2 linked regions of the Lonchura striata genome follow. The protein of the gene in region 2 interacts with the protein of the main gene of each other region in a pairwise test. Links are inferred from orthologs where the notes say so. Each region holds a gene or a part of one and is shown on either strand. Other genes may lie near its edges.

What was found.
Region 1: the proteins of PEX6 (region 2) and PEX26 come close enough for resonance energy transfer, tested with the Homo sapiens proteins (2 studies listed by BioGRID). The link is inferred for Lonchura striata from reciprocal best matches to the Homo sapiens genes PEX6 and PEX26.

What each region holds. Positions count from the first base shown.
Region 1 is NC_134607.1:13,651,527-13,666,132, forward strand, and holds PEX26 (peroxisome assembly protein 26), read left to right. Parts: upstream 1-6,863; coding exon 6,864-7,030; intron 7,031-7,402; coding exon 7,403-7,543; intron 7,544-8,539; coding exon 8,540-8,853; intron 8,854-9,545; coding exon 9,546-9,692; intron 9,693-10,089; coding exon 10,090-10,193; 3' UTR 10,194-12,770; downstream 12,771-14,606. UniProt on the Homo sapiens protein: Peroxisomal docking factor that anchors PEX1 and PEX6 to peroxisome membranes. PEX26 is therefore required for the formation of the PEX1-PEX6 AAA ATPase complex, a complex that mediates the extraction of the PEX5 receptor from peroxisomal membrane.
Region 2 is NC_134605.1:18,916,017-18,931,016, reverse strand, and holds the start of PEX6 (peroxisome biogenesis factor 6), read right to left. Parts: upstream 6,611-15,000; coding exon 5,756-6,610; intron 5,680-5,755; coding exon 5,519-5,679; intron 4,845-5,518; coding exon 4,761-4,844; intron 4,099-4,760; coding exon 3,996-4,098; intron 3,827-3,995; coding exon 3,690-3,826; intron 3,608-3,689; coding exon 3,496-3,607; intron 892-3,495; coding exon 683-891; intron 544-682; coding exon 351-543; intron 14-350; coding exon 1-13. Other genes in the region: VSX1 (visual system homeobox 1), read right to left, coding at 10,597-10,862, 11,482-11,662, 12,578-12,701, 12,962-13,040, 13,407-13,776. UniProt on the Homo sapiens protein: Component of the PEX1-PEX6 AAA ATPase complex, a protein dislocase complex that mediates the ATP-dependent extraction of the PEX5 receptor from peroxisomal membranes, an essential step for PEX5 recycling.

The sequences.
Region 1 (14,606 bases), on a different chromosome or scaffold from region 2:
TTCAAGGCAGTTCTTTCAGGCTGTCTACACTGAGTCATTTTTTGGAAATAAATTTTTTGGATCTAACATTAAATGAGAAATTATTTTGGATTTGGTAATACAGACTGGGTTTTCAACTTCCTCCTTGAACAGGCATCTGGAACAAAAATGCGTCTAGAAAATTTTGGCTTGCCTTTTGAGTCTGCCTGGGCTTAGGCTGCTCCCAAAGCTGAAAACCTCACTGAGAGACAAGGGCTGGATTACTCACAGGCTACCCTTCCCCCAGTGTGAAGAAGTAACCAGGTATGTTCAAGGCTACATAAACTAATTAGACATCTAATCCTACCTTTGTCTGCACCTGGCATTGCCAAGAAAGACGAGAAGGAGCAGCAAGTAGGGGAGGTACAGAGGGCAAGAGAACATCAGTTCATCAGGGAAACAGGGCCAATACACTGCTTGAGACATTAATCCTACACACAGTATAAGCACACCTCTCAAACAGGTGAGACCCTGAAATAGCACACAGATCTTCCAGAGGACAGGAGAAATCCTCCCAGAAGAAAGGTGCTGCACATTCATTGACTAGGTTAAATAAAAACCTCACATGCTGTTCATAAAAAAGCAATTACCAGTTAATTACTGTATCAAGTTCACAAGCACAAACAGCAAGCAGGGCAGTTCTGCCCACCACAGCCAGAGGGGCACACAGGGGGTGCTCTCTGTGAAACACAAGACACAAAGGTTGCACCAGCATCAGCCCCTTCCCTGGGGATTTCTCCTGAGGCTCAGGTACTGCTACCATGCAATGCAGCATTGCTAGCTTTCCTAAAGCAACCTCACATCACAGCTTTTGGAAGCACCAAGAGACCTGGCCAGGCAAGAGCCAGGACCAGCAGACTGAGATGGTAAAGAGTTTGTTAGCTTCTGTAGTATATTCTGAAATTTCCAATTCAAGATGCAGGAGATGCATTGCCTGCTTGTAGAGATAATTAACGTAGATCACAGTAAATGTGCATTCAGAATGAGAGTCAGATGACTGACAGACACTGAAAAGAAATACTGACGTGTCAGGAAGTTAGGTTAAAAACAAGAAGGACCTTTTTCTCAAATTGCCTTGTTTGCCTTGTGGTACAAATAGTTCCAGGTGATTCGCACTGTCAAGCCTCTCTCCCCATCATGAGAGCACAAGGCTCGCTTTTGAAAAAAGAGGAAAGGTGGAGACTAATGGATGAGAGTTGATTTTGGCAAGCTGGGCCTTGAGAAGTGGTATTAACTGTTAGAGGGGCTGTGACTCTAAAGCGATGAGCAAAGAGACGCTGTGCTAGGCAAACAGGGTGTAAGTGACCCACACTGATGACAGGCTTCAGTATTTTCTCACAGATAATAACTAGCTGAAGAAAAGAAGATGCCTTAGGCCTCTAGCCAAATTGGTCACCTTACAGCTATGAAATGCCCCACCTAGCACTAATTATGACTATTATAATAGTAACAATTAAATCAAAGTAACTGCTCCTAATCTTTGACAGCTGCCTTGCCAAGGCGAGTATTTTGTTTGATTATGAAGCAAAGAAAGGAACTTAACTTAAAATTGCCCTTTGTTTCAGAAAGGTTCTGTTATTATCTGAGTAAAACTCAAGTTTTGACAAGTTGTGAACACATCCCTATGTTCCCAGTTTCCTAATTTCCAGTGTTTACACCTCACACAGTGTTTGTTCATCTGTGATGAAGGCTGAGACAGAGATTGGCTCTTCTGTTTTATGTGATACCCCCCAACTGGACTGTGGCTGTGGCTGCCCTGTAGTTGTCTTTTCTGCCTTGTACTACCCTCACCTGTTGTTTACATAGGTTTGGATATAGCCAAAATCAGACATGAGTGCATTTAAATGCACTGACTAGGAAAATCAGCAGGTGGGCCCAAACTCAGGCAAGTCTCCACTAAACAGTTCTATTTTTGAAACAAAAGCCAGGTTTGATGCTGTGCCACAATGCTTGGTGAGATAAGAAAGCACCATGGGCCATCTGTTCAAAGCACAGCCAGAGAGCGTTCACCTTCCCCCAGCCCCGGGCTCTGCAGACCTGCAGAGGGAAGCCCTGAATCTGGGCTAATTGAGGGGATCTGCAGCCAGCCAGCTTCATATTTAATAGGGATTTACTGCTGATGGAAATTACAAGCGAATTACAGATTCCAACACGTCATGGTCTTGCCAGAGTCAAACAAAAGCACGTGGTGATAAGAACAGGGTGCTGCACACTGGGACCTGAGGTGTCTGTGGACCTCATTGCTTTGTTAAAGTATTGCTGATAAGCTGTGAGGTACTACAGAGCTCCACATCTTTCCTAGAGACTATGGTTTCCTCAGTTGTGTTTATAATGCCATTTGCAATTTCCAATTCTTCTGCTTGTTTTTATAGGAGTGTAGGAGGGTTTCTTTCTCTTCAAATCAAATCATAGGGCCTCACCATTTCTAGCTCAAAGTCTCCCTAATGCTGCTAATCTCCTATTAACAGCCTACTGACACAGAAGAGACAACAGAAAAAGACTGATTGCCAGCCCTCTGGCCCTGTGACCGTGTGCTGGTCAGATCTGGATTTATAGTTGAGGCGATTTACCTCAGGAGGCCTTGTCACAGGTGCCTGTAACTCTAAACTCTCCTCGAACTGCCTGGCAGGAGAGGGAGGAGGGGAACCAGTAAATCCACAGATGATGCACACACAAACAAGGCCCTGCTGAAAATAATTTTTCTTCTCCTATACAAAATCAGGATCACTGTGGGAAAAAAAAACTCCTTGACTTCATAAAAAAGGCAACGAGCTGGGCATGGACATTACACCCAGGACACAAAACCCACTGTGGTACTCACTCAAACTAACTTGTCACTGACAGCAAGTTCGTTTAGCTTTTCTGGTCGCTAGAAATTGCTATCCAAGAGCACAGGCAAACATCCTGCTTCCCTCCTGTGCTTGTGTAGTAGGATAGATTGCCCTGTTGTGTATCTGTATTCAAGTACAAGAGCGACCCTTTCAGCTTTAAGACAATTTAAGCTGCTCCCATTCAAGGAAAGATGGAAAATCAGCGTGGTTCTTATTTGGCAACAAGTATCCATGTGACAATTGGGTTCAGCAGCCCAAGCAGTCTCGGGCTCTCCTCCGGGGCTGGTCTGCGCCTCCTACATTTGCCGTGCCCGCTGTGCTGCTCCATGACCCTACATAGCAGGAGGAGGGTGCTGGGATGCCTGGTGCAGCTGACCAGCTGCACTTGACGTCAGCCAGCAGCAGATTGTCCACACAGAGCATCTGAGCTGCACCAGGAGTCTGCCTGATGCCAGCCAGAGAAACAGAGGCAGGAGCTGCTGCTGCTTGGGTCCAGGTCAGCCACCCGGGCTTCACGTGTGCCCAACAGTGGAGCTCCAGCATGTCTCATCTCCACGAAGATGATTATATTTCAGAATGATTTCATTTTGCTCGTTAACAAATTGTCAGTAAAATAGGTAATTGTTCCTGGCCTGAAGTTAAACAATCCGGTTACCGAGTGTTATTTGCAGGTCAGAGAGCTGCAAGAGGTTTGGCCTTTAAGGCACCACACTGTCCCCTCTAGGAAGAGGGGTGAAGTACAAAAACATTCTACCGTGCCTTGCAGAGAAATTCATTTAACCTATAATCATTGGTATTACAGGGCTGCTTGTCCACTTTGGCTTCTCACACAATCACACACTGCAGCTCATGCAGAGCTGCCGTTCAGAGCAACTCCTACCTCTCCCTGACCCTTCCCAGCCCCTAACATAACTGCATCAATGTTGCAGCTCACTGCCTTTCCATAGGTATTTATTAATCAGGTGCATCTGCAGGGAAACAGGATCTGACTCGGCAGCACAGCTGCTCCTGCTGCTCGCTCCCCCACCCGAAACAACAGCCCCGTTCCAAAAGCTGCCTCCGTGACCGCAACACCTGCTGCAAACATCACCAGAGCGATGCTGGGCTGCCCTTCTAAGGGATACAACACTACTGGCTGCTCCCCATGAAAGAAATCCTTCAACAGCATCTTTGCATAAAACAAACGTACCTTGGTTTTGTGCTGTCTCACTCCTTTTCTGAGTCTCAGTGAGGAGCATCCAGCCAGTGTGAGTCTTTTTCAAACTTGATTCCTTATCCATATTTGGGAATTTGTGCTGGGCACTAGCTGGTACGAGGCACGTTCTTCCCACAGTGCACTTTGGGACTTGTAGTTCCCAAAAAGGAATGTTGTTTTCCAAATTGCAAGCACCGAGCAACAGAAACAGAAGGCTGAAACGCCTTTACCTCTGCTTTTGCTTGCTGCTCGGCTCTTCCTTTCACATTTGTCTGTGCAGTGGTTTCACCTTAGCCAGCCCAAATCCTTCAGGAACCTCTTCCACAGTTAAGAGCAGTGTGCCAACCCCTTGGATTCACTACTGTGTAAAGCTGCTACTGCAGAGTGCTCCTGCTGCAGCCGAGAGGGGCAGGTACATGGTCCTGCCTCCTGCAAAAAGCTATCTAGAAAAAGAGAGCTCTGATCAAGTTTTTAATCGTATTCGCCACACTGAAATGGCATAGAAAATCCCCTTTGAAAGATGCGTGTTTTGCATGTTTTGTATGTAACCCATTTGATTTTTAATTAAATAATCATAGTAGGGGGACAGATAGATGTGTCAGCTGTTTAAAAAGGTTACAGGATAAATCAATCCTGTCTCTCCTGTAGGGATCCATTTTTGAAGAGCGTTTGCACTGACTGCGGTAATTACCTTGTAACCAAGACACCCTGTTGTTTTTAAATAACAACAAAAGGAGAGAGTGGGAATCGCTGCCTGCCGGGTGCTGCCGGGGACGTTATTACGGCCGAACTCCATTAACAGAGTAAACTGCGGGCACGAGGTGCGTGAGGAGAGGCGGCCGGGAGCGGAGAGCATCCTTCAGCCGCCCGGGCGGCGCGGAGCGGAGGGCCGGGAGCGCTCTCCCGTTAGACCGTGCCGAGCGCCTTCTGCCGGGCCGAGGAGAGCTGGGACTCCCTCGGGGCTGCGACACCCTCGGGGCTGGGGCACTCTGGGGCTGGGGAACTCTGGGGCTGGGGAACTCTGGGGGCTGCGACACTCTCGGGGCTGCGACACTCTCGGGGGCTTGGACATTCTTGGGGCTGGGGCACCCTCGGGGCTGGGGCACCCTCGGGGCTGGGACACTCTGGGGGCTGCGACACTCTCGGGGCTGCGACACCCTCGGGGCTGGGACACTATTGGGGCTGGGACACCCTCGGAGCTGGGACACTATTGGGGCTGCGATACCCTCAGGGCTTGGACATTCTTGGGGCTGGGACACCCTCGGGGCTGGGACACTATTGGGGCTGGGACACTCTCGGAGCTGGGACACTATTGGGGCTGCGACACCCTCAGGGCTTGGACATTCTTGGGGCTTCGACACTCTCGGGGCTGAAATACCCTCGGGGCTTGGACATTCTTGGGGCTGCGACACTCTCGGGGCTGGGACACTCTTGGGGCTTGGACATTCTTGGGGCTGCGACACTCTCGGGGCTGAAACACCCTCGGGGCTTGGCCATTCTTGGGGCTGCGACACTCTCGGGGCTGAAATACCCTCGGGGCTTGGACATTCTTGGGGCTGCGACACTCTCGGGGCTGAAATACCCTCGGGGCTTGGACATTCTTGGGGCTGCGACACTCTCGGGGCTGAAACACCCTCGGAGCTTGGACATTCTTGGGGCTGCGACACTCTCGGGGCTGAAACACCCTCGGAGCTTGGACATTCTTGGGGCTGCGACACTCTCGGGGCTGAAACACCCTCGGGGCTTGGACATTCTTGGGGCTGCGACACTCTCGGGGCTGAAACACCCTCGGAGCTTGGACATTCTTGGGGCTGCGATACTCCTGGGGCTGGGACACTCTTGGGCTGGGACACTCCTGGGGCTGGGACACCCTCGGGGCTGGGACATTCTTGGGGCTGCAATACTCTGGGGGCTGCGACACTCCTGGGGCTGGGACACTCCTGGGGCTGGGACACCCTCGGGGCTGGGACACTCTCGGGGCTGGGCTGACGCCCGGCGGCCGCGGGGAGAACAGCCGAGGCGGGCTGTGCCCTCGGCCCCTTTCCCTCGGCAGCCACACGAGGGAGAAGATGAAGGGAGCGCGTTTTGGCAAGGACGGGCACCGATGTCGGTCCCAGAGCCACTCCCGGAGCGCCCGCAGAGAGCCCGCTTTCCACCGCTAATCTCCGGAGAGTCACAGCAGGGCTCAGGCTGGAAGAGATCACCGTGGGTCATCCCGTCCCACCTCCCTGCTCAGTCAGGGTCATCGCAGAGCACACGGCACGGCAATGCATCCAGGCGATTTTGCAGTATCTCCATAAAGGAAGACTCCACACCTTCTCTGGGCAATCTATTTCAGTGCATGGTCACCGCACAGTAAAGAAGTTCTTCTTCCCCCTGTCCAGGCGGAACTTCCTGCGCATTAATTTCTGCCCGTTGCCTCTTGTCCTATTGCTTGGTACCACTGGGCAGAGCCTGCCTTTATCCTCTTAGCACCTCCCTTTGGGTAATTATGCACATTAAAGAGGTCCCCTCTCGGTCGTCTCTTCCCAGGGCTGAACAGACCCAGCTCCCTCAGCCTTTCCTGGTAGGAGATGCTCCAGCCCCCGAGCCATGCCCGTTGCCCCGCCCGGCCCGGCAGCCGCCGACCTCCTGCGGCAGTGACTACAGGTCCCGGCGGCCCGCGGGCCGGGGATGCTCCCGGGGCGGCCCTTCCGCTGCCGGGCGGCTCCATCCCGGCTTCCCGGTGCCTGCCCGAGCGGAGCGGAGCCGGGCCGCGGCGGGGGCCGGCGGCCGAGGCGGGGGCGTGCGGGGCCGGGCGGAGCCCCGCGGCCGGCGCCATGCGGGGCGAGCCGCCCGCCTGGGCCCCGGGGCCGGCGGCCGCGCTGCTGGAGGAGGCGGCGGACCTGCTGGTGCTGCACCGCGACTTCGCCGCCGCCCTGCAGCGCTGCGAGGCGGGCTGCGACAGCCTGGGGCCCGTTCCCGGCCCCGTTCCCGGCCAGGAGAGGTGCGGGCCCGGCGGCTCCGTCGGGTGGCTCTGGGAAGCTGCTCGGTGCCGCTTCAGCGCCGGGCTGGCTTCCACCTTCAGGCCGCGCCCGCACTGCTTTGGGGTTTCTTTTAGCCCTGTCGATATGAATGTGTTTCGTCTGTGCGTTTTTTGAGGGAAGTGCGGCGTGCCCAGGAGCCTTCCCTTCGTTTTCTCAGAGTCACAGTGCATATCCTCGGAGGTCGAATTGGCCTTTTTGTAGGGGGCAAGTAGAGGGGGAAGAGGGGAAACAGAGAAGTGTGGTACCTGGGCTGCACTGAAGCCCACTTCAAGGGATGCAAGGGGAAATATGGTTGTAAGAAGCGCTTATTTAGCGTGTCTGTTCCTTACCAGTTTTGCAGAAGTGAAATGCTCCCTTTGTGTTGTGGGGATTCAGGCGCTGGCCGAGATGAACCGGTGGAGAGAAGTTCTGTCTTGGGTCCTACAGTACTACCATGTCCCTGAACATCTGCCTCCAAAAGTTCTGGAGTTGTGGTGAGTTTCTGTCTGTTGCTGTCGGATATTCACACGGGGCTCATGTTAAGTTTAATTGCAGGCCAGGCTTGGGTACTATGTGATATTTTTGTTATAAACAAAAATTGTCCAGCCAAATTAAAATGAAAAGTAAAATATTTATTTTGCAATCAAATTCTATCTAGCCAGCCACAAGGAAAGAACAGTGCTGAGCCCAGGGTCAGCCCTGGGTGTGCAACAAGAAGTCGGCCTCAGCAGAGATTTTCCTCTATGCCCACACATTTCCATCCTGGCACAAGCAGCTTTTATAGGGAAAATTCCACCTGAGGCCAAGATTTCGGCAGTCAGTCTTTTCTTCTATTCAGAGTCTATAGGTTAATAAGATTTTCTTATTTGGTGATGAAGAAGAACAATTCAGTGTCCGGGAGTTGTTGAATCCCTTGATGAAGTTTCTGGGAACACTGCATTCACATGTATCTGCCCGAGGATTTCCATGATATCCATCTCAGGTCACGAGATGAGCAGCGCCTGGGGTCCCCATATCTCTCCAGACATGGCCCATCTCCTGGTCGAGCCATGTCCTTGTCCTTTTACATGTAAATCGGGTTCTAATATACACCAGGTCTCACCTGTGAGGGTGGGGGGAACTCCTAATACAAACGTGTATACTCCAACAAATATTCAATATCACATATATCATACTAGAAATGGCACAAATTGTATCTACTACACATAATATTTTCACTTTGTGTGGTGTGAATGAGATCTGGGACAGGCCTTTTCTCTGTGTGCTGGAGCGTGCCTGCAAGATTGCTTCATGGTGACCAAGTCTAAAAGGAGTGATGCTGAGAGAGTAACATCAATAGCCACACCTGTTTTCTGCCTCAGAATTCTCTCTGTGCTTTGATCTTGACCCTGACTGATACCTCATGAGAGCTGCTCATGGATAGTAGCTGTCAGTGATGTCAGCTTCCAGAAAGACTCAGGGTTTTCTCATGCTTCTCCCTTGCATCTCAGTCTCCTGCTCTACAGCAAAGTGGGAGAGCCGCAGGTGATGCTGGAGGTCGGCAGCAGCTGGCTGAGAGCCCACGGCAACCAGAGGCTCCCCGAGTTCGGGTCGCTGCTGGAGCTGTACCTGGCGCAGGTGCTGCTGCCCCTGGGGCGCTTCGAGGGCGCGGAGGAGCTGGTGCGGGGCTGTGCCGTGTTCGACAGCGAGCAGCAGCTGGAATTCCTTGGCACCATCGGCGAGAGCCGCTGCCGCTGGACTCAGCAGGAAGAGACACGCTCGGCTGCTGAGGAGCAGCAAGACCCAGCCACAGAAACTCTTCTAGGTGGGCTTTCCCTCTGTTGTTTGTGCTCCTTTTTTACAGTTTCATTTCAAGTCAGCCCCTTACTGGCAAAGGGTAGCAAGTATTAGCTTCATATTAAGAATACTGCCATGATAAACGGGCCATGAGGAAATTAATTGTGTATCACAGCAGGAAATAAAAGACTTAATGACACCTTTGCTGAGAATTGCAAAGCATATGTAGTCTCTGCTAACATCAGAAGATGACAACTAATGCCCAGGATTGAAAGCACTGTGGAGGTTTTGCGGGTTTTTTTTTAAGTAAAAAAGGCTACCTGGCAATACTTTAAGGATATGTTCTGTTGGCTCCATGTACAGTTTGCTTCATTTCCATTTACAGTTGAGTCCAAGGAGAACAATGCCTGTCTAACATTTAAAGTACTGCTTCTTCTCCAGAGCTGTAAATCATTTGCTGTTTTCTCCCAGGACAGAAGCTGGCACTACTGTGGTATAAGATCAAATTGTAGTAGAGTAGATGCCTAAAAAAGAAGTATAATGAAGTGTATTACAAAATTGTACTCTTTCTCTGTTGTATAAAAAACCAAACCAAACCAAGCCCAACCCAACTCTCATGCAATCAGACTTCCAGTATCGTAGTTTCTTATTGGCTATATCTGTATGATTACTTTTTAAACTTTACTTTGCCCTAACAGCCCTTCTGTTCTTGTTTTCCAGGGGTGCTGTCCCAAAAGCTCCTGACCATGTTGACATTACTACGTAGAGCACTGAGGTCCATGTCAAACCACTTCTATTTACTTCCTTACAAGAAGATGCTCTTGGCTACTTTTTTGCTGTACCTGGTGGTGGTGAGATTAGACCCAGGTACAGGATTAAGTTTTCCAATTTTTAGAATTCCATTATGGTTATGGAGAAGAAGTGAGTTGCTTTTAATAAATCTGGTCTGTGTAAATGTCTCAGGGAGACAAAAAATCTGAGTGACTAGGAACTTAATGTGTTTAATGTTTCCAGCTGAAGTGATGTAGAAAGGTGAAGCTCCACAAATGCCAGTTTTCTGCAAACTTTCCAGCAGCCAAGGTACAGACTGTGAGAGGCAGGCAGAGCTGTCCTAGACTCAGCCTTTCCTCATTGAAGGAAGGAAGAGAACTAGGTTTTTATTAATTCTAGTTGGGGGTAGTTCTTTCTTAATATGTTTAGTGTATACTAGTTTTACCTAGTTAATTTTGCTAAGTTGGTTTTACCTTTTTGTTCTGCTTTGCAGCTTCTCCCACATCACTGCCATTCATTTACAAACTGGTCCAGCTCTTCCGACAGGCTTGGGCAGCTGTGCTTCCTCCAATCCATAGGCCTCCAATTCGAGACTAAGTGTCTTCCTCCACTAAAAGTGTCACCTTGGCTTGGGCATGTTACCAGGCTCTTCAGGGGCTCTTCAAATCTGAGATGTGGACTCCTGGAATTTCTTCAGACAGGGAATGGTGGTATATGAATTTCGAAGCCACAGCAAGTGTTCCTGACATTTTGCTTGGTCCTGTCCAACACTAGGGTACAGCCACTCTGTCCATACCTACAACTGAATAAGAATTCTCCTTTTCAAACACTTTGCTTTGGATGTGTGTCTCTTGAGTGAGGGTTGTGTAGCCAGTTATGAACTCTGGAAGAAGTTCTTATCCTTGCAAACGCTGAGCAAGTGTTCTCTGAACAAGTGCAATTCCTGGAGGACCAGTGATTAGGGGAATATTCTGTTTTCCCTGAAGACATCTGGAAAGCCCAGTTCCTGCAGCATGGGATTTAGGACAAGCACATTAAAGAAAAACACTGGAGAAATTAAAGCCTATTGCATTTTGAAAGCCATGTTTTTTCTCTTGTGACTGATGCCTCTTTGAACAGGCACACTGGATTTTAGTCATATTTAAGCCAGAAAGATGAGGAGTTGGGCCAAAAAGACTGTTGTGTTGTATCTACTCTTCTTAAATGCAAATTACAGCACTCAGTGCTTGTCTGATGCATAGTCATTCCTAGAAGCACTTGGTGGTGGTGGTAAGGAAATAAGTTTATTTTTTTAAATTCTATTCTATGTTATTGTATAATTGAACAGCTGAAGTTGTGGCTTTGTTTTGCTCTTTCCCTACCTCTTGCTTTGTTTATGTAGATGTCAAAAAGTCTCTCTGTATATCTAGAATTGCTCCCCAAGCCTCAGTATCCGAAGTTCTGGGTTAGATGGGAGTCATTTAGCAATGCTCTGTCATTCAGAACAAAAATTTATTTTTTATAGAAAGAGATACTTCTCTGACATCACACGACCTTCCCGAGATCATTGGTAAGAAAATTGTGCACCTGCAGGTCTGTCAGCAGACAGCTTCATTTCTGACCACTTGGGGCAGAAATTGGAGGTTTGGGGTGGAACATTAATTTCTCCTCCATCCATTCATCCATCTATCATCAGCTGACAAAAGGTAAATTCCAAGGAGGGAGCACTGATCTAAAAAAATACTGCTTTTAAACTGTTGTGTGCTGGAGGGGACAAGTTAAAGGCGAGAAACCTGGGACAAATTGACCTCTGTCATCCCAGCACCTGTGCCAAAATGGTGCAAACTCACGGATATCAGCCCAAACTACAAAATGTTGTCAGAGCAGCCTTTTTGGTGGGATCTGTTGCTTTGCTCCCTACTGGGGCACTTAGCAAACAGTCTCATCTTCACTACTAAAAACAGTTGTCCGTTTCATCTTAAATTATCCCAAAAAGAGCTACACCCAAGCATTATTGTCAGACAAACTCAGGTTATTTGTGAGTGTAATAATGACCTTCCCTAGTTGTCTCAAGAGATTTTAAAACCCAAACCAATCCCATATGCATGCCTCCCCAAAGTTTTTGTCTGCCAGGACTTTACACCAGGTTAAGTAGCACATATTTCCATATAAAAAAGTAATTTCTCATATACTCTGCACACACAGGGAAGAGCAGCCTTTGATACTGCTTTGGTATTGATATTTCAGTTTATTACTGAAACCAACACTTGATGTGAAATCAGATAGAATGAAACACAGAAGCTCTGTCTGGAGATGAGCTCTTCCAAGAAATGACCAGGATCAGTCCTCTGCCCCCCTGCTTTGCAAGGCCTCTGGTTAAATCCTTTGTAAGCCAGTTAATGAAATGGCAAACTTCACTCTTGAAGTCAGGCCAAATTCTCATCAAAGTGACTGTTAGGTAATGAACAATTTTAGCTGTAATCTTCTGGCATCATTTTTAGTTGGATGGCAGAGATGCTGTTTTGGAGGTTGGTTTGGACCAATGGTTTCAGCAGGCCATACATTTTAGGATGCTGTTAAGTGTCCTTTACTAGGACTTTTAACATTCAACTTTAAGTGTAGGTTGGTAACCTTGACTTTATTGGAGTACTACTGATTTAGAATTTATATTGTTTTTAATTCATCATGAGAAAGCAAGAAGGCAGAAATAAGCTATCAGGGTTTTTTTGCAATTAATACTGAAACTGCAGTATCTAATTTTTATAATAAAGTGACTACTGATTTACCTCTGTAGAGTTGCTTGTTTGTGCTGTGATTTGAGTATATGAAAAAAAGAAGTATTTGTTGTATTGATACACTAAAAAGTATATCATAGTTTTCAAGAATTGTTTCACATTGTTTCATAGTTTCAGCCTATTTGAATTAAGTCGAGAATGTCTTCAGTGTGAATCTGATGAGATTTAATCCACTGATGATGTTGGTAAAGTGTAAGTCTGCATTTTGGCATGGGCAAGACCAATACTACCAAGAATAAAGTATCTGGTATTCATCATTATTAGATAAATGTATCTTTATATTATTTACAACTACATTATATATTATATATAATACTATATATTATTTATAACTACAGTTCTGACCTTAATGTATTAGGGGAGAAAATTATACTAATAAAAAGTAAAAATACATAGCACAGTTCTCTGTTTCAGGGATAATGCCTGAAAACCAGTATTTTTATCAATGTAGGTACTTCATTACTAGGTTTGGGAAGTTCAGAAATTCTGAAATGAGATGCTGCTGGTTCTCCCAGCAGGTGGCAACAGACTAACAGAAAACAATTATACAAGGAACACAAGGAAAGTGTTTAAATCTTCATTCACTTACTGAGGAAGGTATTAAAATGTGTGGGAAATGCAAAGACTTACACATCGCAAATGAAAAGCAAAAGAGGATTTTGTGTGATCACCTAAGAGCTTACTAAGAGTTCACTGTTTTGTAAAATGGCATAATAATGTTCTAAAATAATCCATAATTCTGACACTATTGGTGAGTCATTTAGGTACCAGGCTTTAGGGAGGGAGTGAGGTACATCCAGTAGAGGATAAAAAGCATTTAACTGTCCTTCATTTGTCTGTTGATGTATTTCAAACTCCAGCATATTGAGTTGTGGGAAGAAGGAGGAATCATGTCACATTCAGGGTGATGATGTTTGTCTGCCCAAGGCAGTGATGGAGCCCTGTAGTCCTGGTTGTAGCTGAGTACCTGCCTGCCCATGGGAAGTGTGAATCCACTCCTTGGTTTGCTTTGCTTGTGTGCACAACTCTTGCTTTGTGTGTTAAACTATACCTCAATGCACAGGTTCCCTCTGACTCTTCTGATTTAGTGCTCAGTTGCCAGCTGGGGTTAAACCAGTACAACAGTACTTCTGAGTTCTAGATTATTCAAAAATGCCATTTGCAGAGATGTGTCTATTTTTAATTAGAGAAAAAGGCTTTAGGTTTCATATGGCAGCTCACCATCTGCCCACAGAGGTTGAATGCCAGCATCCATCAAGATGACTTACTTTCCAAGAATCCAGGTCCAGGTCATATGTGCCTCATGTCTCTATGGTCTCGCACTGGCAGAGAAAATGCCACAAAGGACAGTTGCAAACAATTTAGTAATTCACAGACCTCTTTTAGATTTTGTTGCTGCTAGAGCTGATACATTGACTCAAAGTGTGCCTAATAGGTTTTGGGTGGTGGGCTGCTCAAAGTAGTTGCTTTGAGACCCTTTTCTGATTCTCTGAAGCTGTGAGCATTAACATTTCAGATTGTCCAGAGCACTAGAGCTTGTCTGGAATGTTACTACTTCCACTAGAAGAAAAACACTAGAGCAACCTATTCTTTATTCTCAAAGCAATGAGCTAATGGTTTTCTGAAGAAATCTGAAATTCAGCTTAAGCAAAGCTGCAGATGAAAATGATAACGGACTTTCTTTGTTTAAAAACTATTATGGCTCCAGAAATTATGGCTCTGTAGCTTTTTCCAGCCAAAATCAGAGTAATTATTTGCAGGTTTACGTAAAGAACAGCAAAATGAAGACTATACCAAAGTGAGTTTATAAAAACCAGTATGAACTAGTTCTCACTGTTAAAATATAGGTGTTAAAGAAGGTACTTCTGTGTTACCAGCAGTGGCAGAACAATTTATTAGTATCATCATGACAGAGTAGATTAACCTACATTTTAGGAATTGTTTACTTAATGTCTGCTGATTAAACATCATCATAAACAGTACATTTATAAAGTCTGGGGATACATGACACATTCAAGCAATTAAGTGTGTCTTCTTCTTTGTTACCCAGGGGTTGCAAACAGGAGGATTTCTCTGCTGAGAGAAGCTGATGCTTTCCAGTGGTGAACTAGGGCAGAAAGAGCAAAGTGGTGGAGGCAACTGCACTAATTTGGTGTCAGAATGTTCCAGATAATAAACACTGTAATAAAGAACAAATTTCTTTCTGTTTGGGCAGAGAAGTGAGAGTCTGTACTGC
Region 2 (15,000 bases):
CCAGCACAAATCCCTGTGAATGTGGAAACAAAGAGCATCAGTTCAGTCCTTCACCACAGCTACACCTAGGCCATTAAAAGTATGGGGGAAAATTCCTTGCAGAGCTGCTCCTTGCTTAAAGGCTCTAGCTTCATTTATTTCTTTTGTAGCAGAGCTGAACATCAGCCAACACCTCTGCAAAAGGTGGAGTCTGTAGGCACTAGAAATCTGCACTAAAAAGCTGATGTCTTTAACCACTGAAGAAGTTGTCTGGGCTGTGGGCATTACCCCTTTCTCCAAGGCCAGCTAGAGGAGATTGGCCCAGCACTCCCAGCCGGCCCATCCCCACATGCTGCTGTGGTTTTACTCACAGCAGTCCTGCGGGCCAGCTTGGACAGGCTCACTTCTTTGCCCAGAGGCAGGCTGGCAGTCAGCATGCTCAGCATCAACCTCCTCTGCTCCTCTGAAGGGGCTTCAATCTTCACCTCATGAAGGAAAGCAGTCTGCACATCTGTGGGAACATTCTGGGGCTTGCAGGTTGTGCCAATCACCAGGACAGGGTAGCTGTGGGGAGAAACGAGACAGTGCATGGTCTCAGCTCTGTGGAAATATCCTCTTACATTATCATCACATATGCCAACTCACTCTCCCTCGGCAGAAGCAATTACCTGGGATGCCCATAGCAAACGTGCAAGGTCCATACCTCAGTGCTGGGTCTGTGTCCAGGAGCAGTTGCCTCAGAGTAGCAATGACCCTGGCGTCCTCCCCGAGCCCATCTCGGTCTCTGCCAAGCACCTCGATGTCTTTCAGCAGCAGCACACAGGGCTGGTACTGCTGGGCCTGGTTGAAGGCCACCTGTACTTTCTCCTCTGTGGCTGCACTGGTGTCACTGCACAAACTGACGCAATCGACCTGCCAGACACACCACACAAGGCAATTGCAACATGCACGGCTGGGGGGCCTAGGACAACATTCCACAAAGCTTTCCACAGACAATTCAGGGCTCAGAGGAGATCAAACTCGGTATTTTCCAGAGACACATTCAGGTCATATTCAAAATAGGCACATTCTGGATGCCTTAGCATGGACAAATGGCTGTTTCTTCCTTCTCTACAAGAGGTGAGGTAGACAGGAGGGTCTTATCTGAAAAAAGTGAGGCAAAGGGACCACAGAAATCGATACAGTGGATATCACAGCTCAGCAACCTAAGGCAGAAGGGAGGTGAGAGCTGTGGAAGACAGGGAGAACAAAGCACCTTGCAGAATAGTGCAATTAGTAGAGAAGGAGGCCCAGGAAACTGCTCAACCAGTATGCAGGAGGAAGGCAAGGGTGACGGGTGTTTGGGGGGAAGTTATAGATGGCCAGAGGCCCAGACACTGTTTACAAAGCAAACACTTGATGAAGTCATCCAAGGGAAGAGGTGACTGGTGAGCCTTGAACAGCAGCCTGGGAACAGGCAGTGCTGCCTCCTGGTGCTGCGAGGTTGTCCAGGGAGACCCAAACCATCTCCAGGATTCCCTGAGTTTCATCTTCACAAAAGGCAGCCTGAAGCAGGGTCAACAACTCCCTAAAGGGTAAGGAGAGGGACACAGAGCAGAGGAACTCCTGTGCTCCATGTACTATAGAAAAAACCCAGGAGTTAGGGCTGTGACAGGCCTAATGGCAGCAGTGTCTGTATGCAAGAACTGAAAGGCAGAGAGAAAGGACAAAAAATTGTTTATCATCAAGTGGTGGACATTAGAGTGAGGAAGAATTACTGTGTCTTGGTGGGCTGTTAGACACAACAGTCAGAGAAAGGGAAGAGCAGGGGAATGGCAGTGTAAGCACTGCAATCAGTGAGAAAGGGAGGGGAGATTGTAAAAGCTGGCGTAGGAGAGTAAGATGCTCAGAAAATGTTTCTGTCTTTAACAGTAACTGTGTTAGTCTTTAAAAGCAGCACACAACCCTGAAACCAGAGCTGTAGCCTTGCACACACACCCCACTAGAACCTGAGGCCACCTGACAGGACATGGCAGTGACAGAGTGCTCCCAAGCACATCCTAAACATGGATCTGAAGGTCCTGTGAAATCCCTGCAATCCTGCATTGGATCCCAAGAGCACTGGCACATCTTCCGAAAAGTCAGAGCTCTGCACCACAAAGGATCATGTCCAGATGAGCTGCACAGCAGCGGGCCAAGGCACTATCTAGCTGCTCCACTGCAGTGTTACAGCTTTACTTGGAGAGAAAATAACAGAAAGAGAGTATACTCTAAAAATATCCACCAAAAGAAGGAGCAAGCCCACAATTTCCCTCCACAAAAAGAGGAATCTTCCAGCCCTATTCTTTCCGTTTTTCTTCTTCTTCCACATCCTTCCAGAATTTCAAAAAGCCTCCTAGAAAAGTCACTACGTGACTTCCTCTCATTTTTGCAAATGTATCTCTACAGATTCAAAGAAATGAAAGCATTTGGGAGATAATCCCAGATTGTCAGAGTGAACAAAAAAGGTATGCTGCAGGAAAATAGAAATTTTAACAAATCACTGAAGACTGTTGGTTCCAGAACCTTTTGTGTTGGACAGAGGCAGGTGCTAGACCTCATTTTGGCCATCCAGGCACATACCATTCCCATCAAAATGGCTTTTCCCAGTCAGAAGTGGTTTTGTAACAGTAGATTTCTCATCCAAATACTCTGACCTACACAGAGAAACATCTCCTTTAGCTTGCTTGCTACGACTGGCTTCATCTGACAGTCATAGGCCTTGTGCTGACACAGAGAAAAGGAAACACCTTCCATGCTCTGCTGACCTCTCAAGCTCTTGTGAAAAATCTCTTTCAAAAAGATCTCGTAAAAACTTGTATCAAACTATCTCTAAATTCTTTATTTTTCAAGCTGAAGAATTTATTCAGCTTCTCCCCACAAAGAAACTGGCCTAGACCCCTGATCTTACCCAGTGTCCTTCTCCAAATGTTTCCAGTTCAGTTTTATGTTTTTGTGATGGGGAGACCAGAACTGTGCATGATGTTCAATCTCTGTCAAGACATGGATTTGCACAGCAACAGCATCCACTCCTGAGTTTGTTCATAAAATGTGATCTGATTTTTTACACATATGAAGAGCAGAGCACAAGTTTCCATGGGGCCATTGCCATAAAACGAAATCCTTAATACTGTCAGTCAGCTGGAACTATATCATATTCCACATAAAACCAACTCCAGTGAATTTCACCTGCCACTTCACTGTTCTTGGCAGGGGGATGTGGTGAATGTGAACACAGTTACACAGCAGCTGTTTTACATGCCAAAAGATTTTGAGCCGGGTCTGGTACGTGAAACCAAGAGCTGCTTTTCTTTTCCCTCTCAGCTAAAGAAGATCTCAGCATCATTTGCGCCTCACTTGTCTGCATCTGCACATGGAAGCAGCTCCTGGATAGATTCGTGTCATGGCTGCAGCAGGGCTTTTGGCAGGGCCGACTTAAAAAAACATTTCCATAATTCTCTGTAAATCCACCAATCCACCGGCCACAGGAAGAATTACCTTGAAGAGGTGGAGGTTGAGGCAGCTACACACAGCTCTGACAGCCAGCAGCTTCCCGCTGCCGCTCGGCCCCGAGAGGAGAACGCTGCCCACGCCGCTCAGTGCACTGGCCCTGTAACAGACCCCTGTCAGGTTTCCCTGTGGCCATGGTCCCCCCCGTCTGCCAGGGCTCACTCCATGGAATTCTCACTCACCGACGGTTCAGGTGAGGCCGAAGAGCATCGCAGAGCTGTTTCACGACATCAGAAAGTCCCGCAGGAGACAAACTGCTCCAGAACTCATTGCTGTTATAGGCTGGGGCAGATGGCACAGTGCTATTTGTTGAACCCACCTGCAAGAATGCAAAAGCACCCAAGTAAAGACAGGTGCCAAGTGGCAAAATCTGTCCTGAAATGTCATTTTCCAATGGCAGGAGGCACAAGCCTCCACAGGTACATTTGTCATCCACAGTGCAAGCTCAGCCTCAGATTTCCTCTCTCTGCTCTCTACTAACATCTCACCAGATAGACAGACGTATTCTGGGTGTCCACCAGGTAACCCTCGGACTGCTCGTCTTCCACCATGCCTATGACCTTCTTCACCTTGAAATAAAGCTCTGGCCACCTAAGGGGAAAAAAACAAGCACTCTAAACTGCTTAGCCAAGATCTTGAAGGAAGGAACAATACAAATGTCAACAAGAAGATAGCTGATAAGCACAGGTAAGCAGAGAAACTCTTGTCCTCTTGCAATATGCACAAGGATCATCCAATGTGAATGTTGGGAATGCCACTGGGAGCATCCTGATACAAAGGGGACATTCTCCCATTTAGCACAACTGTTCTAAAGCCACATGAGCAAAACCAAGAAAGGCAGAACTGGTGGCCAAACAGAAAGGTTTTCTAACATGAGCTCCTAGGGCTTATATTTTGTTGTTTGTCACAAACTGAGGAGCCCAGCTCCCACTCTGCTTTCTTTATGTGGCTCTGACTGCCCTCAGGCCACTCCTTCCTCTTCACTCTTTATTCCTATCAGTGGCTCTACCTCTTGTTTTCCTTTCTTCCCTTCCTGACTATTCGAATGAGCTAACAGAGGCCTCCCTCTTAGCTTCAGCCCTCCACAATCCAACAAAAACATATCCTTCTTCCCAGTATATTGACAGATAAAACACTAAAATCCAGGGACATGTCAGAATGGAATAAACTGTCTGATTTCAAGAGAGTCAATCGTGGAAAAGTATCTCTGCTCTTCTGGTACCAAGTAATAGAGTCACAGTTCGTTGACCTACCTTAGGAACTTGTCTGCATTTAGTTCTATAAACTCAGCATTTCCAAATGTTGGAACACACAGGATGTCTCCCTCCTGGACCAGCCTACAAAAAACCCAGAGAGTTTCACCAGTGAAAGAGAGTAAATCCTTCTGGTTGTGTGCCCTCCCTGCCCTCCGTCGCAAGTGTTTTTACAGAAAATAATTTAACTATTCATACTGACTCATTCCTTGTCTGTAAATAAAACTTTCAATAGCCACTGAAAGATTTAGCACACACTGGATGGAAGCAGGCATACCCAGACTGCTAGGGGAAGGCTTGTGGGAATGGCAAAGAAAATTAGTGTCTTTATAGTGTCTCATTCAGACAAAATCTCCACCTTATCTCTGGAATAGCTGGGGATCATTCCAACAGATAACCTTAGAAGCCATATGAAAGATACTCAGCGCAGGCATCAAAAGAGAAGGTGACAACACATCCAGTTTCCAGACTACTCAGCTGAAAACTGAGATCATAAACACGGCCCACAGGGGAGGTTTGTGGGCTGCACTTGCAAGCCCTCACCACTGCATGGTGAATTATGAGGCAGGAAACTTGAAGATGACTTCTGAAGGACAGGACAAGAAGTGTTGTGTCCAAGCTGAGCATACTCGTCATAAGACAATGCGAGGGGATATTCTAAAACTACACAGCACCTGCCCCAGGGGCGTCGACGTGCACATCCCCGGTGTGTGGCACACGCACACTGTGCATGTCACAGTCCGCCCCGCAGAGCTCACCGCGGCGTCTCGAAGTGCCTGTAGAGCACGCAGTCGTAGCTTCCCCGGGTGCTGTAGGCCGGCGAGCAGACGATCTCCAGCTGCAGCTCCTTGGCGAACGGGGGCACAGACAGCACGGACCGGCTGCCCTTCCCATCCGCGGCGCCGGTCCTTTCGTACCTCTGCGGAGGGGCCGGGGCGCACCGTGAGCCGCGGCCGCCGCGGGCCCGCTCCCCGGGCTGCCCGGCCCCGGCTCACCTGCAGGCGGAGCTGCGCGGGGGCGGCGGGGTCGCAGCCCAGGTTGAAGGCCAGGGCCGGGGCCAGCAGCGCGGTGCCGTCGGCCAGGCCGCGCCGGGCGGCCCGCGGGTACTCCCAGGGCGGCGGCCGCGCCAGCAGCGCCGCCAGGTGCTCGCGGGCCGCCCCCTCCGCGCCCACCCGCACCCACTCGCCCTGGAACAGCCCCAGCGCCAGCAGCCCGCGCCGGCTCACCCACACCTCCGCCCCGCCGCCGCCCGCCCCGCCGGGCACCGCCCGCAGCCGCGGCCCGGCGGCGGCGGCGGCGAAGCGGGAGACGAGGGGCGGCGCGGCGGCGGGCGGCGGGCGGCCGCGGGCGGAGCCCGGCGGGGCGGGCGGCGGCGCGAGGGCGGTGCGCGTCCCGGTGCCCAGCAACCCCTGGAGCGCCGGGCGCGCCTCCAGCACCAGCGGGCCCGGCCCGGGGCCCGGCCCCGGCAGCGCCTCGCCCCGCCGCGCCAGCACCGCGCCTCCCGCCAGCCTCCCCGCCCGCCCCGCCGCCCCCAGCAGCACCCAGGCGAGCGCCGGCGGGCGCCGCACGGGCCACACGGTCACCCTCCGGCCGGCCGCCAGCCCCAGCCGCCGCAGCAGCGCCCCGCGCAGCCACAGCTCCGCGCCGCGCCGCCCGCCCGCCTCCAGCGCCACCGCGCTCAGCAGCACCGGCTGCGCCCCGCCGCGCCCCGCCGGCCGCACCGCCAGCACCAGCGCGCCGCCCCGCCCGCGCAGCGCCGCGCACAGCCCCGCCGGCGCCAGCAGCAGCGCCGTGGCCGGCGACAGCTCGGCCGGCGGCGCGTCCAGCGGCCGCAGCACGGCCACCGCCATCGCGCCGCCCGCACAGGCAGCGGGGGCGGCCCGGGGCGGAGCGCGGCGGCCGCCCCGCCCCGCCGAGGCCGCAGAGCGGCGGCGCAGAGCGGCCCCGGACCGTGCTGCGGAGATTGCGCTCCGGCGCTCGTTCCGGGCCGTGCCGGCCGCAGCGACACCCGGCGATGCCGGCCCCGTCCTCCCCGGCTCCAGCAGTCTGCAGCCAGAGCCTGCGGAAAGTGGGACAGAGGGGAAATGTGGCCAAAATGCGGGCGGTGCTTTTGCTGTTCCGTGCCCCACGCGAGCCTCACGGCCGCACAGTGTGGAATCGCAGGGAAAGGGCACTCGGAGCAGAACCGGAGCCCTCGCCAGTGGCAGCCTGCGATTTTGCGGGCTGAACACCTGCACCTGGTTTAAAAGAACGGACTTGTATTGGTGTTAGTGCTGAATTAACCTACGAAATCATAGCATAGTCTAAGTTGGAAGGGACACATAGAATCATCAAAGCCCAACTTCAGTCCCTGCACAGGACAGCCCCAGAGTATTGTCAAACACTCGTTGAACTCTGTCGGGCTTGGTGCTGTGGCCGCTTCCCCGGGGAGCCTGTTCCAGTGCCCCACCACCCTCTTGAGTGAAGAAAGTTTTCCTAATATCCAACCTAAAGCTCCCTTGATACAGCTTTAGAACCATTCTCTGGGGTCCTGTCACTGGTCACCACAGACAAAAGATCAGATCAGTGTCTCCCCCACTGATTTAATCGTGAGGAAGCTGCAGACCGCTATGGGGCCTCTCTTGCCCAGGCTGAACAGACCCAAGTTGCCTCAGCTGCTCCTCACATGGCTTCCCCTCCAGACCCTTCACCATCTTTGTAGCCCTCCTTTGGAAACTCTCTAATCATTTTAATGTCTGTTTTACATTGCAGTGCCCAAAACTGCCCCCAGCACTCGAGGTGAGGTTGCCCCAGTGCAGAGCAGAGGGGACAGTCCCCTTTCTCATCCAGCAGGCGATGCTGTGCCTGATGCACCCAGGACAGGGTTGGCCCGCACCTGAAGCAGTCTGGAGAAAGTCAGAGGCTCTGATCAGCGCCTGTGCCCTCTGCCAGAGGCTGCTCGTTGTACCCAGTGCCTGTTGAGGATGCAAGACGAGGGTAATGAAACACAAACCTCGCAGGATTCTTTAATTCTGCATCCACAGGAGACGTCCAGACGCGCCCCTGCAGGGGTCTGTGGGAATGAGGGGAAGGAGTGAGGCTTCCAGCCGCCTCTGGGCTCCAGCCAGCCTCTTCCTTTCCTGGGCTGTTCGCCGTGTCCCATCGCGCAGCTCCACACGAGGGAGTGCTTACAAAGCGTTCGGACTCGCTGCCTCTGAGCTCCCAGTCTGAAAATCCAACCTACAGCTTGGGAGGATTGGCCAAAACAAAGAGGCACAGATATTAATATTGTTTATGTTATGCAGAAATGGCACCATGAAGATGCTTCTGCAAATGCAGCCCTGCAGCCTTCTCTGCTCTGGGCCCATCACTGGGACATAAGAAAAATTTGACTACCGTTTTATCTCTGTTTTAAAATAAGGGAAATCAAGCAAAGGGAGTGGGACACTCCCATCACTGCCTTGCACCCCGCGGGTGCCTGGCAGTCAGCTTCCAGTCAGTGAAGAGATCTGCATGTGCAGAACACTGGCTTTGAATTTACTGTCTTTTCTTGCCTGGGCCACTGGGAAGGGATCTTCTGCTTGAGCAAGCCCAGCACTTGTGGCTGAGGGATGCCTGAGGCTCCTTATAAAGGCAAGCTCATGGCACCAGGCCCTCATGCGGTCACCAGGACGGCTGTGGGGTCTCACATGGGCAGCAGTGGAGATGTGTGCAAGTGGCAGCATTACCTTATGTCAGGGTCACACTCTTGTCACTGGCCCAAGCCTGAACCACCACTGGCCGAGCCATGGCTGGGTCTGGCTGCCACTGATCTCAGGATGGATCAAACCTAAAGCAACAACAAGAATGTTCTGCCCTACTCCTATTGCTGCTCCCAGCAGTGACATTGGAGGACAGTGGGCACTTCCCTGCCAGGGTTAGTTCAGGCAGCAAACAGTGACTCCCTGCTCCGAGGAGGGCACCAGACCCTGTCACCAGGAGCTGAGTCTGGGCAGTCACTGCCATCCACCAGCATCTGTACCCCACAGCCCAGCACGTGGGAAGTGCCTCGGGCCAGTAGCCCTCCTCTTGGCTCCTCCTTCCCAGCATGTGGTGAGAGCTGGGAGCCCACCAGGCACTACCAGGAGCTTGAGTGGTCTGCACCCTGTGCATGCTGGAACTACAGTGTCTCCCCTTGTAGCACTCGTGGTGGTGACGTGCTTGCTCTCACAGCACCGCAGCCAGCACAAGGCAAAGAGCCAGGCCATCTGCACGCAGGCAGAGCAAAGGGGGAAAAAAAAAAGGATTGCAAGCATCCAGTGCCAGCGTGGCACAGCCCAAATAAAAGGTTTGCAGATGCTGCTCAGGCAGGATTAGGCCTCCAATGTGCTAAGTCTCGGCTCTCAGTGAGCCTAATTGCTGCTGCAATAAGCCCTGGCTGGTCCTTTCCTGAACCGTGCTCTCCATAGCCCCCCCAGCAAACTTTTTTTTCCCCCAGCAAAGCTTGTATTTGCGATGCATATGTTACCCCTCCCCCAAGCCGCCTGGTGGGGTCTGGCCAAGCAAAGGAGGGGAAAAGCAGGAAATCTGCACGTGCCACTTACTGCTCTGCTCTTCCCAGGAACTGTCCCCACACTCTCCCCCTATCCAGCACAGTCTGTGACTGCATCCGTGAGAGCAGCCAGGCCAAGCAGCAGAGGCAGGACCAGGTGACAGCATCAGTACCTGGCCACACACCCCCTGAGCTGCAATAAGACACTTTCCAAACTAGAATTACTAATATTTTAATAAAACCCTTTGATAATTTTCCGTTATGTTTTGGTTGGTAGATGAAACTGGAGATATTCCAGGCGAGCTGTCAAGGCATGTGCATGGGCTGGTTCAGCAACTGCCATGAGATGTGTCAAAGAAAGGTATAAATTGCAATACAGAGCATGAAAACCAAAGATACAACACAATTTTATTTATGGATGTGTAATAAATAAATGGTGGACAATACAGGAAGAGCCACATTCAAAAATCCAGATTACTAAAGTGCTTTTAGACATAAATATAGGGTGACCAAGAAACAGCTCTGACATTAACACTTTTTACAGACAATTACAAAAGATCTTATGTCACTTCACAAAATTGTTTAATTGCTCCAGGGTACTATGGCTTGCTTTTCAAGAAGGTCTGTTCTATCATGCATAGTGTGGCAAGTGACATTCAAGAGTGTACAAAATCATTGCATAAACAAAAACGTCCTTACCCCCTTCTCCCAAATACGAGTTAAGGAAGATACACAGTGTAAATCCAGTGATAAGGCTGCACTGGCAGGCTAGATCCTCAGGGAGTATAAACCTGCCTCTCTGTCAGGTTACACCAGCTTGAGGATGAACCATACCATGTTTAAAAACCCTGCTGCTCCTCGAGGTGGAAGATTTGTGTGTTCAGCATGGAAGGACTCACACACAGGCGGTGCGCCGGGGTGGAGGTGCTTGGAGAAGGCGTCTGTAAACTCCTGTAAACTCCTGCACCATCCTTGCACCTTGTGTTGGAGGAGGGAGCAACTCCCAGTGTGTTGCTTGTCTTTGTGCTTCTGAATAGCTGGGGAAGTGGTCCCAGCATGGAGGAGAAGGGGGCTCCTCCCCAGCAGCAATTGGTGCTGATCACAATGTGCTCCCACCCTCGCACTGCTCTTGGCCCCTCTGCCACCCTCCACCCTAGCTCTGATGAAAAGTGAACAGCTTGAAAGTGAGGGGATATGTGTGCCCAGTTTTAAAATGCCCTGAATTCAGATAAAAGTTCCATTATTTAAGAAAAAAATATATATCAATAAATATTGTGGTCTCGCCAGGACGCTGTGAGGTCTGGCCTCCTCCGGGGCAGCCCAAGCTCAGTGGTCCCTGTCGTTCTGCTCTGTAGGGGTGTCCCCGTTGATGTACTGCCTCAGCACACCCCTCTTCTCATGCTTGGCTGTCCTGGAGAGGTCGATGGCTGTGTCCTCCAAGTCTTTTGCAGGCCCAAGCTTGTCAGAGCCCTTCTGGGAACTGGCCTGTGTCCCTTTGAGTTCCTCCTCCTCCTGCTCCATTCGCCAGCCATCAGCCAGCTTCTCTTGGCTCTCTGCCTTCCTGCTTACCTCCATGGACTTTTTGTGCATACCTTGCAGAGGGGAGAGAGCAAAGCCAAGGTTGCTTATTTCTGCTTGGGACGGCTCAGAATCACCTCCTGAATTACTGCTGCTTCCCTCAGTTCTTGCCTGCATCCCAAGGAAAGCTCTCTCTAACTACTAGCCTTTCCCATCCCAGAGCCCTGCCACCTGCTCTCTGCCACCTGGGGAGATGGCTTGTGGAAAAATTAGTCTGTACCTTCCCTGTAGCAGGGAAGGCTTACAGGGAGAGGTGTGCTGTAATGACCCATTCCAATCTGGATTTTGAGTTTGTATGAGCAGAGGGTAGCTCTGAGGTAGCTCTGAGATATCTTCAGTTTAAGGGCGGGTGGTAGTGACTTCTTAGATGCCTTGCAACTCCCATGCTGCCTGCTAGCACTGCAGAGTGATACCCACCCAGGTGCGGGCACCTGTCTGACACAGCAGTAAAAGGTTTTCCTTTTCCTAGCAGTACTTTGCAAGGAGGAAGTGGAAAACCGAGGGTACTTGGCAGTCTGTATACAGCTCAGGGCCAGGGAGGCCCCATTCATTTCTGGAAAAAGGCAAGGGCAGCCATATGAAAGAAGAAGCTGAGCCCTGATCCCCCCAGCAGCACCCCAAGTTCCCACTCACCCAGCAGCCATGGGGCGCAGGATCCCACCAGGCCACTCTTGGCAGAGTTGATGATGGACTCGGGCAGGGGGATGGAATGCCTCACCATGGCCCCATAGAGGCCGTACTCAGCCATCACGCTGCTCCGGCCCCAGCACTTCTCCCGCTTCCGCCACTTGGCTCTTCGGTTCTGAAACCAAACCTTCAGGGGTAACAGCCAGGAGAGCACGGAGGGGTGGGGTTGGGGAGGAGACAGCCCCGTGACCGGGTGTGCAGGGCCCATTGGGAATGGGGGAATGACCACCCAGAGCCAAAAGTCAGCCGTGGGGTGAGCGGAGGGGTTGGGTGGTGCAGACACAGGGTGTGGACACGCAGGTGGCACCGGGACGGCAGCCGGGGCGGCGTGTGGGGAGGGGTGTGAGGGAGGACACACACGTGGGTGTCAGAGAGGGGAGGAAGGGGGGGAGAGGGAGCACACATTAACATGAGGCTGATCGTGATACAGGAGGGTGATCCCAGCCAAAGTCACCCTACGCTGCTCCGCCAGCCCACAGGGCCTCCCTGCCTGATCCACAAATCACCAACCTGTCCAGAAAAAGGGCTCCATAATGCAGTGACCAATGATGACAGAAGGTGCTCAGGTCCCTCTTCCCACCCCACTCCTCTGTTTGAAGGTTCAAGGGAGTAGATATAAGCAGGCTGCTGCCCAGACCACCACCTCATTCTTAAGCCTCTGAGCTGTTCCATAGGGGAGCAGGATCAGGCCCTAAAATGCCATGTGTTCCTCAAAGGGGCAAGCTAGTGAGCAAGCTCATGTGTGACAGCTTGGCCCAGCAGCTCCAAATTGCTCCCAGCTCCTGCCTGAATGGGAGAACAGAGCCAAGTTGCCAGTAATAAGCGACTGCTGGGGCCAGTTCAGTCCCCTTGTTCTGCATGTCCATTTGGAGGCTGTTCCATGCTAGCAGGCAGAAGCTGAGCCTCCCCCCAGGCGCCCTGCAGTGTTTCAGTGCCACCACATTCCCACCATCTGCACCCGCTGTCACAGAGCAGAGGAGACAGCCAGATGCTGGCGGCCCACAGACTCCTCGGAAGAGAGAGGACCGCTGCAGCCACCTACCTGTATTCTGTCCTCCGGCAGTTCCGTCTTCACAGCCAGCATCTCCCGGGCATAGACGTCGGGGTAGTGTGCTTCATTGAAAGCCTTCTCCAGCTCCTCCAGCTGGTGAGCTGTGAATACAGTCCTGCCGAGAGGACAGAGCATCCTGTCACACTGTCCGGACCCTTGGGCAAACAGCGAGGCTGGCAGCCCCCCCCACGCTGAGGTTTTCCTCCGGAAAATCCTCCCCCTACCCCAGCTGCAGCCCTCCTCTTTCCTCCTTTTCCTCCCTTTATCCCCCTTGGGGATATTGACCGCCCCAGCCTGGGGATCGGAGGAACAGCGAGAGGATGGTGGCAGCAGCGAGGAGGTGAGAACGGGGACAGCCTGGCTCCCGGGCGCTACCTGTGCCGGCGTTTCTTCCTCTTGATCTGGGAGGTAGTCATCTTCAGGTCGCTGGCGTCCCCGGACAGGCTGTCTTCATCTGGCAGCAGCATGCGGGAGGGGAAGAGTCACGTTCCCGTCGAGAGCGGGGCAACCGAGCGCAGCTCCCCAAACACGGTTCCAGCCGCCCGCGGGGAGCAGGCGCGGGGCACGGAGGGGTCCCCTCCCACAGCTGAGCCCTCGGTGCCGCTCCGGTGATGCCATCCCGGGGCAGGGAGTGGGAGCCCACACTTGCCGGAGGGCCAAAGGAGCGGCATCCCGGCGGGACGGGCGGCACGGGAGCCGATCGCGCACCGCCGGGAGGATGCCGGCCGCGGCCGAAGGTGCGAGGCAGCCCCGGCAGTGGCTCCGGACGGGGGTCCCCGTGCGCGCCTGAGCGGCCACCCTCGACCCCGACCCCGCTCACCGGAGATGTTCTCCTTGTGGCGGCGGGCGGCGGGAGGTGGCCCGGGAGGCGGGCGGGGGCCGCGGGCGGGCAGGAGCGGCAGCGGGGCGGGCAGCAGGCACGGGGCGCCCGGGGCCCCCAGGCTGCACAGCAGCCCCAGCCCCAGCCCCAGCGCCCCGCCGCCCTCGTAGCCACCGGCAGTGGCGGCCGGGGGGGGCCCGGGGGGCGGCTGCAGCTCGGCTTCCAGCCCCAGCAGGTCGGTGATGGCGAAGCCCTTAGCCCGCAGCCCCGCGCCTCCCGGCCGCGCCGCCGCGCCGGGTGTCACCGGTACGGGCACCGCCACCGGCCCCGCCGCCGCGCGTCCCCCCGACGGCTCCGCCCGGCCCGGCATCGCCGCCGCCGCCGCCTGGCCCGGCCACCACCGCCCGCCGCCCTTTTTATCGTCCCGCCGCCGGTCTCGGCTCCAATCACACTCCAGGCCGGCGGGGGGGCGCTCCCAATCCCCGGATTAGCAGCCTCTGTCCCCCCTCCCGCCCGCACGGGTCCCGCGCCCCTCCCCCGGCCCTCCCAGGCCACCGCCCTGCCCCCGGCGCCCCCTCTCGCCGTCCCTCCCTCCGTCCCCCTCGGTCCCCGCCCCTCGGTCCTCATCACCCCCCGCCGGGTCCCCTGCGGTTTCGCTCAAACCCTCTCCAGGACCCCCTCTCAGTACCTGTCCCGCCCCGGCCCGGTCAACCTGTTCCCCCCCATGCCCCATAAATCCCCCTCACATCCCCTTGGGCTCCCTCTCCGGGTTTCCTCCCAGGAACCCCCTGCTGTGTCCCTATGTCCCCATATCCTCTCTTCCATTGCCTGGCAGTGCACTCCCCAGCACCCCCATTCCAGCCCAAGACCCTTCAGCCCCACATCCCAGATGGGACATCCCACTGGGCTCAGCACCCTAGAGACAGGGATAAGAACAGGCAGGGGCTGTTGGGCAGGAACCTCCCTGACCCCAGGTGTCTTGTCCCCAGGGCTAGGGTCACTTTGAGGTGCCTGGCCTCTACGCTCCCTTTTGCTCCCAGATTCTTGCACCTGGGCTGCAATTTTTTTCCCTCTTCCCTTCATCTGTTGATGGAAATGATTTACAACCGGCTTACATGGGCCGCCTGATCCAGGCCTTCATTGGACGGTCAGATTAACCGAGGGTCCTTCTGATAAAGATAATTACAAGGGGACTCCGCATTAACTTTGCATTATTAAAGAAAGACCCAAATCTCCCATCGCAAGCTGTTCCCAGGATTAGCAGAACAATAACTTTCATTTAGGATAATTGCCGTGGCCGGCACTGGGGGCTGGCGGGGGGGACCCTCTGGACCATCGTGCTTCTCACCAAGAAAGGCAAATAGGTGTGAGGGGAATGAGAGGTGTGGGAGTGTGGTCACACTTCCCAAACCACCAATTTGGGGTACTCATGTTCTCAGGATGAAGGGATGCTTGGGGCACCCCAGCCAGGATTGCCCCCTGCACCGACACTGAGCACACCAGGATCCCCTTGGGCATCTTCGCTTCTCCAGAATGGTTTTGCTGCAGTTTTGCTGGAATAGGAGACTTTCACTGCTAGGCAGGGAGGATCTGC